Linked DNA regions of Cricetulus griseus. The protein of the gene in region 1 interacts with the protein of each later gene in a biochemical or structural test. Links are inferred from orthologs where the notes say so. Each region holds a gene or a part of one and is shown on either strand. Other genes may lie near its edges.

Region 1 (4,158 bases):
TTGACTCTATCAGTCATTCTTGGCACGCTATAACTAACTTCTAATATCCCCAAATAGCTGAGCTTCTGTTGGAAGGGGTCACATTTTAACATTTTGGATTTGTTTCGGTGATTAACTGGGCACCCTGTAAACAAGTCTTACGAGGTCTCACAAGAGGCTAAGAATTGATAACGCCCACTTCTCTGACCGTCTAATACATGGATCGAAATGTGCAGTTTTCACTTCAAGCCTAATAAGATTTTCAAACCAATTAGGAGCAGACCTGTTTGCAACACAATGCTTTGTGTATACAAGGTATGGTGGAAAGGATTCGAAACGTACATCGTGCTATCTGGCGAGGGTGTCCCGACCTGGCGGACAGCCCTTCCTGCTTTTTTTCTCTTGTAGCCCAAAGACAAACGCTGGGAGGCCTCGGTGGTGGCCGGGGCGCGGCCGCCTCGCTAGCACCTAGCTCGCTCGGGCAGCAGCGGGTGCGGCTCCCGCCCACTCGGAGCAGCTCGGCGCGGCCTCGGCGTCCCCCAGAGGAAAGCCTGGGCGCCGCAGTCGGCCTCGGCGTCGCTCATCCCGTTCGGTCGCTACGGCTATCGCGCCCAGGAGGGCACAGGAGCGCCCTCGGGCCTCGGTCGGGACCAGCAGGGCCGGCCGTCCCGGCAGCTCGGTCTCCGGTCCCGCAGGCCTCGCAGAGCGCGCTCCAGCTCGGGCTCCGGCTCCAGCCCCGCCCCTCCGGCTCGCCCCGCCTCCCGGGCAATCTCCTCGCGCTCGCCGCCGGCACGCGCGCTGCGCCCTGCCGCCGCTCCCGCCGCCACCGCCGCCGAGCGTTTCTCCGCCGCGCCTGGCTTCCAGCTTCGGGCCGGAACCGGAAGTGTAGGGGGCGGGGCTGGCGGAGGCCAGGAGACCGAAAACGCGGCCGAGCCGGGAGCCGGGAGCCGGAGCCACAGCTTGGACCAGAACTTGGCCGCCTCCTGCACCACCGTCTCCCGCCGCCGTCTCCCACCGCCGCCTCGCGCCGCCACCGCCGCAAGCTCGGCTACCGTGGTCCGCGGACGTTGGGTGTCCGGGTTGAAGGTCGGTCCGGACGTCGGAGCAGCTCGGCTCCCGGACCGTCCGGGCGGCTGCAGGCGCCGCCGCCGCCGCCGCCTCGTCGCCTCAGCTAGGCGTTTTGTTCGCAGAGACGCTAGAGGCGAGAGGAGCTGACAGTGATTTTGACAGTGATTTCAACCCGCTTTTGTTGTTGTTGGCTTTTCGTTGTTTGGTTTCGTGTTGTGCGTGTGTGTGGCGGTTTTTTCCCCGTGGTACATTTTTTTTTTTAATTGTTGTGCCTCTTTTTTTTTTTTTTTCAACCCCGTGAACGTTTTTGATCCAACCTCCCCACCAACCCCCCCCACCCCGCCTTGGGGCTTCCGAATATGTTTTATGACGGTTGATTTTACACCAGGAGGTTTGTCTCTGAGGAAGACCCAGGGAACTGGATATCTAGCGAGAACTTCCTTCGGCTTCCCCGGCGCCTCGGGAAAATGGGAGCTGCTGCAAAGTTGGCGTTCGCCGTCTTTCTTATCTCCTGCTCTTCAGGTAGGTGGAGGAGCCGGCGCGGCGGGGCTGTGGCCGGCTGCGGTCTCGGCTGGGCAGCTCTGGGGCGGCCGAGGCTTTCCCGCGCCCGACCCCGCAGCCCTGACAATCTGGAAACCTCCATGAATTCCTCTTGTTTTGGGTTGGTTTGGCGAACTGATAGATTGAGTGCTGTGTTGTTGTGGAAGTGAGAAAGTCATGGTTTTGTGGCCATAACACTCGATGACAGCACTGGTTGGGTTGCTGTTAAGCCGCAAATACCACAAGTGAAAATTTATGTAAAGGTTGAGACCCAAAAGGAGTATTCCGAAATGTCATTTAGCCCTAAGCTGTTCCAAAACAAGGACCGGTTTTGGTCGTCATCTAATTAGTGCTTCACCGGTGAATATCGAGACATAGATCAAGCGAGTTGGTGTTTAATTTTGACTGTGAGAAACAATGCATCCTATCAGCAATTTAATCTAGGTCTCCTCTCACGTCTTCTCCAACTTCATTGTCCAGTAGTGTTAAAAATAGTTTTAGTTGTCGGAGTATTAACCATAACCCGGTGCAGAAGAGGTATGCTGCTGCGTGTTGGTGGTATATGCTGGCTTTCACCCACCATTTGTGTGCTCTTTTCAGGCGTAGATTCTGCTTACCTACGGATTACTTATTTTAAACGCTTTGTACCGACGCATTGTTTTCAGTTTAGAACAGGGCTTGTGAAATTGTGCTCACTGTTAAAATATGCTGTTCTTGTGAGATGTATTCTAGCTCAAGGTTAGGAGAATACTCTGGCCATTTTATATCCAAAAATTTGATTATGTGAGGACGTTGTATGGTTGCAACCAGTGGTTGGAAAAAGCTAGGCTTTTGTACTTGAAATTTGGAAATGCATACATCTAGCTGAAAGGTGTGCAGATCCACTTGACAGGAGAGTTAGTTCGAGGAATGAAACAGTTTAAAAGTCACAATGAATGCATTCACTATAAATATCCAATGTATATTTGCTAGGTTGTGGTAAAGAATAGGGGTGGGGGGACAAATTGACAGGTTTCATGGCTGTGTCGTTACCTCTTATGTCATAGGGAAATTAGAAGGTGGTAGTCTTTTCTTTGTGTACCTCTCTGTTGTGTGTGTGTTGAGTGTGTCCGTCTTCCCTACCCCACCCCCCTTTTAATAGAATCTTTTGTAATGTATAGAATTTTTGCTGAATGGTACATTTCCTTGTGGTTAATAAATGGATAAAGTCTAGTCTTATGTCTGTAGTGGTATTGATCAGTTCCGGGTGGGCTGGATGTGTTGTGAAATGGCGATCATTGCCAGAGATTAACCAAAAGAATCATGTCTGTTTAAATGGAAGAAGGAACATGCTTAAGGCAGGCGGACAGTTCTTTTTGTGCTCGGTTTGGAGAGCATGCTAAACAATGGTGTCTGATAATGTTAAACATCTTGCTTTTGTGAAATGACTTAACCCTGTAGTTTTTCTCTCTCATAGTACTCTTCTTCTTTTTTTTTTTTTTCCTCCCTGACCCTATATGTTTGGCTGGTGAACTCCTGTTCAGATCTCTCTCTCTCTCTCTCTCTCTCTCTCTCTCTCTCTCTCTCTCTCTCTCTCTCTCTCTCTCTCTCTCCTAATCTGCCCTTGAGGAGGAGGGGCATCATGGCCATGGATCAAGGGATTGTAGACATTATTCTTTGCCAAACCCACCTGAGTCTCATTAATTGATGAAGGAGGTTATTCTTGAACAACCCCAAGGTATCACTTGTGGAAAGGCAGACTGACACTACAGATCTTACAGCTTCCTCTGCTTGACTTTCGAGTAAAAAGAATTGAGCAGTAGTTCAATTTATGATTATTTTCACTGGGCTTGCAGGTTAATAGCAAAAATTTTGAAATAGAGTTTTGTTGTGACAGAACATAATATAGGTAATCCATTGAAATAATTTGAAAAGCTATGCTCCATATTGATACTTTTTTTTTTTTTGCTTAAAATGCCTGATATTTCTTTAAAAAAGGACTTTGTTACATGTTAAATGCACTCTGAAAAAGTGTGTGTGTGTGTGTGTGTGTGTGTGTGTGTGTGTGTGTGTGTGTTCTAATTGATTTCTCTGTGTAATGTGTAATCTGGCACTGGAAACAGAGGGTGGCTATTTTTATTAGAATTAAGTAATTTACTAAATTACCAGTTTGTTTCTGGGTAGCTGACTTTAAAAAAACATCAAATCGGAAACAGTAGTAACTTGTTTATTCTAGGTGTTCAGGAAAGACAGATACTTGCTCTGTGTGTGTGTGTGTGTGTGTGTGTGTGTGTGTGTGTGTGTGTGTGTGTGTGTGTGTGTGTGTGTGTGTGTGTGTGTGTGTGTGTGTGGTGTTTTGTGGTCTTCGGTTTTTTTTTTTTTTTTTCAGCTTCTTTCCCATGGTATGTGCTATGGAGACTGATTATGCAGCCTATCCCTGTAGGATATGGCCAAGTGTATAATTTCCTCCTTGCTCTCATTCCAGGAGAAACATTTCAAATTTTGCCCTCATCCTGGAATGTCTTCAGATTCTATGATTTTTAATTTTTTTATTCCTCTTTATCCTTCTTCAGAGTCTGTTTCAAAACACAA
Region 2 (4,223 bases), on another chromosome or scaffold:
CTGTAGACAAAGTTACATTTGGTTTGAGATTCTCAAGCAATTTCTAGACAAAGAAATGAGGCCCTGCCCAGGGCCATACAAACTGAGATCTGAAGCTTAGGCCATTGCCAATTTTTCATACAATATCTATGCAGAAAATAAATGTTAATTACATGTCAGTAGCCTTTGCAGCAAATGTTAATTATGATAGAGTCCTTGCTCATCTGGCAAGAGGTTTTACTCAGACTCTGAGATGATGCCCCTCCCATGTCTCATAGGTTCCCTGTCTTCCCATCCTGTCTCATTCATATAGAATCCACTTCTGACTTGTTTTGATTAATTAACAGTGGTTGCTGGCTCGATTTTTAACTGTAAGGTAGAATACCTTTATGGTGATATTCACTCTTCAATTCTCTAACATCTCCAGTAACCAATCCCTTTTTTCACCCTATATACATTTATGGTCACCTTCCTGGTTCCTAAGGCTTTTTTTTTATCTTTTGATGTTTGAAAATTCCTTCAACCTGTTTGGAATGTCCTATTTCAAAAGTCAAGAGGGCTAGGAATGTCACATCTTAAGTCCTGCAATCATCTTGTCAAAAAAATGACATTTCCACCCCCACCTCCACACCCTCCACCCCTGCTTTGGAGTATTTTTCTTGAGTAAGCCTATAATTTAATTAATCCCTTCTCTGTATCTTTGTATGTATACACATTTCTTAAGTTAGATAAGCCTGCTAAAGACACAAACCAGGAATATATTGCAGCAAATACTTTAAACAAAGTGTCTTGTCAGTCGTATGGTGCTCCAGTTTCCTGTCATGTGTGTCAGTGTAGGTGCCTTGCTTTAAGCAGTGAACACTACACACACACACACACACACACACACACACACACACACACACACACACACACACGAGGTGGGGGAGGGAGGGAGATAGGTTGTATTTTTTCCCCCTGTAGATAAATTATATTAACACAGAGTGAACTGCCAGCGAATGAACATGACACAGTGTTATCAAGTTCTTTTACACGGGGCATGGATGTATTGGGCTGTACCCACGTCACACAAAAGGAAAAGGTACAACTTTCTGCCCAAATATGCAATCTCACCAGTAGTTTGCCCGTGATGCCTTTCCCAGTATGGTTTGAAGCTCATAAGATAAAATCCTCCTGTTTTTTTTTTTTTTTTTTTTACATTTGTGGATATTTTGAGATTTTATTTAAAATATCAACAGTATCAATCTAATTACGAACCATAACTTTATTACCCTCTTTCCGTGCCCTCCTTCCCACATGCTTTCCCAAGGTAGGTGAGCATTGTGCCTTACTCATGGCACCCCAGGATCTGCCTTGGGAATGGGGCGAGGTAACGGAAAACGCTGGTGGGCGCGGAGAACCACCACTCCCAGCATCCTTGGCGCTCCCAGTGCCCGCGGTTTCCTCTTCCGGTCCGGCGGCTTAGGAAACTGTAAAAGCTATGCTGGGGACGCGGCGCGGAGCTTGATTCACCTTCACCTGCGCGGAGCTCCAGCTGACCCCGGGCTTCCGCCCGGTGAGCCGTCAGACATGAACGGACGGGTGGATTATATAGTTACGGAGGAAGAGATCAACCTGACGAGAGGACCCTCGGGTAGGCGCGGGACGTGGAGGGAGTCATTGCTGAGCTCGTTGGTTTTGCGGAGCCAGGTTTACTGGCTGGAGAGCAGGCCGGCCCGACCAAGTTGCTTCCAAGAACGCCGTCGGGCACGACGAAAGAGCCCATTGGCATCCTTTGTTAGCTAGATAACGGACCCTGGGACTCGGCCTCACAACCCAGGGAAAGTGCCGCAGGCATTTAGGGCCAGGAAGGGTTTCTGTTTGCTGGTAGTAATAGAAAAGTCTAGACGAACGGCCGCTGCTTAGACAGCCTGTAGTGGACGCCACATCCGTTATTCAGTTGCCTGGATCATCCTTGTTTATATGAGGGCCCGTTCAGGTAAAAACGAGAGCGGTAAACGGCGTGGTTTTCTGAATGCATAGCAATTTCCCTGGTGCTAGGGTCCCTGTCTGCATTTCTGGGAAATTAGTTTACAGTGTCAACTGGAATGCTAAAGCAGGAGGATACCCACTACAGAAGTTTCCAGACCTAGCGCCACCCCAGAATTACTTGGGCTTGTTTTGTTTTTACATTTTTTTTTATAATGAATTAAAACGAAAAGGCTATTTTCTAGTTTCATTTTTAGGGATATGGATTCAGTATGGATTAAACAATTCTTTAAATACTAAATGTGATTCTGACAGGAAAATTCCCACTCAGCCCTGCTGTGTCTTCCTCACCGCTGCTCATGGCCAGACTGGCATTATTATTATTATTATTATTATTATTATTATTATTATTATTATTATTATTGTTTTGGTTTTTCGAGACAGGGTTTCTCTGTGTAGCTTTGGAACCTATCCTAGCACTCGCTCTGGAGACCAGGCTGGCCTTGAACTCACAGAGATCCGCCTGCCTCTGCCTCCCGAGTGCTGGGATTAAAGGCATGCGCCACCACCGCCCGGCGCCAGACTGGCCTTTAAACATGACTACATAGTGCTGTTGTCTCCCTTGGACTATTTTTAGGTTTAGGGTTAACTACTTATGGCCAAGTTTTTATCTAACAACTTACCAGTTTGTCTGTCAGTCTGTCTGGTTGGTTTTAATTCATTGGCAGAGTAATTTAACTGATGTATGCTATAGGTTCTTGTCTGTAGAGTGGAGATGGTTATGAAGTGCATTGTGTTTGACATATAGTGTTAGGATGAAGCCAGTTACGCCCTGAGAAATATTTAGAACATTGTCTTGACATATGGTAAGCAATGTGTATTTGCTATTATTGTTATCATTAGTGAATGAATGGTTAGACTGACCCCAGTAAGTTCTGCTAAATACAGTATTCCAAGAGTTGAATAAATCATTGGTTACTGTGGATTTTTATTCTACTTAGAATATTCTGTCAACTTTTCTCATCTGGAAGTTTGCAATAACTTAATCACTACTGATAGAGTGTTCTGTATAAAACACAACTTTCAGAATTAGTCATACTTTTTGTCTTCCTGTTGGGAGAAAATTGGAAGTTGGTCTTATTTATGGGAGTAACACACTGCTAATCTTTGTGGTTTATACAGAAGCTCAGTGCTGGTTGATTTTATTTTTTATTTCATTTGTCAACTTGGCAGAAGATAGAGTTATCTGGGAAAAGGAACCTCAATTGAGAAAATACCTCTATCAGATTGCCCGTAGGCAGGCCTGTGGAGCATTTTCTTGATTGATATTGATGTTTGATGATCAGCTCACGGTGGGCAGTGCCACCCTGGGCACGTGGTCCTAGATTGTAAGGAAGCAGGATGAGCAAGCCAGTAAGTAGCGCTACTGTAGTTGCTACGTCCAGGCTCCTGATGGAGTTCTCTTTATGATGGAATGTTACCTGAAAGTGTAAGATTAAATAAATCACTTCATCCCTTAGTTGCTTGTGTTACAGTGTTTTGTCATAGCAATAGAAAACCTAAGATAAACTCAAAAACTTTTGCTCAAAGACTTTTCAATATGCTCAAGTGTTTGAATTTGTCCTATTTTAGAAAACTATTCTCTCAATATTTATTTACTTTTTAGGCTAGCATGGTAGAAATTGAATTTTTATTGCATTTATTTAGTTATTTGTGTGAGGGGCAAGGAGGCCTGTAGAACTCAGAGGACAACTTTCAGGAGTCAGTTTTTTCCTTCTATCATGTGGGTCCCAGGGATTGAACTCAGGTTGTCAGAGTTGGTGGCAAGTGCTTGTGCCCACTGAGCCATCTCACTCAGCAGCCTCAGATCTTTAAATAAAAGTCCATTTTTTTGTGTGTACTTTTCATCTTCTCTTCTTAGGATCAGTTGAGATACACCTTTCTGATTGCTTTGCAAGTACATAATGACATCTAGTTCTTTAAATATACTTGCATGATACTACTTTTTATGATGTTTGAGGTTGTTTTTTGCCTAATGGTAAGGACCTAATGATATAGTCTCTTTGCAGTGGTATTACAGTATTTCCAGGGTCTTCCGATGAGAGCAGATTCCTGATATTATTATTCTTGTTTAAGCACTAAATTCAACATAATATCACTGTTTGAACCTCTGGGCATTTTAATGGGCATTGTCTAATTTCTAAGCAATTTTCTTACAGATCTAAAGTTTCTACTCTTAGTATTTCCATCAAGCATTAGAGCTAGGGAAAGTGCCC

Evidence for each region. The genes of interacting proteins can lie anywhere in the genome.
Region 2: the proteins of Acvr2a (region 1) and Synj2bp form a complex in vitro, tested with the Homo sapiens proteins (2 studies listed by BioGRID and IntAct, with this or other methods). The link is inferred for Cricetulus griseus from reciprocal best matches to the Homo sapiens genes ACVR2A and SYNJ2BP.

Annotation. Positions count from the first base shown.
Region 1 is NC_048599.1:125,453,550-125,457,707, reverse strand, and holds the start of Acvr2a (activin receptor type-2A), read left to right. Parts: upstream 1-1,358; 5' UTR 1,359-1,514; coding exon 1,515-1,569; intron 1,570-4,158. UniProt on the Homo sapiens protein: On ligand binding, forms a receptor complex consisting of two type II and two type I transmembrane serine/threonine kinases.
Region 2 is NC_048598.1:122,173,508-122,177,730, forward strand, and holds the start of Synj2bp (synaptojanin-2-binding protein), read left to right. Parts: upstream 1-1,423; 5' UTR 1,424-1,548; coding exon 1,549-1,612; intron 1,613-4,223. UniProt on the Homo sapiens protein: Regulates endocytosis of activin type 2 receptor kinases through the Ral/RALBP1-dependent pathway and may be involved in suppression of activin-induced signal transduction.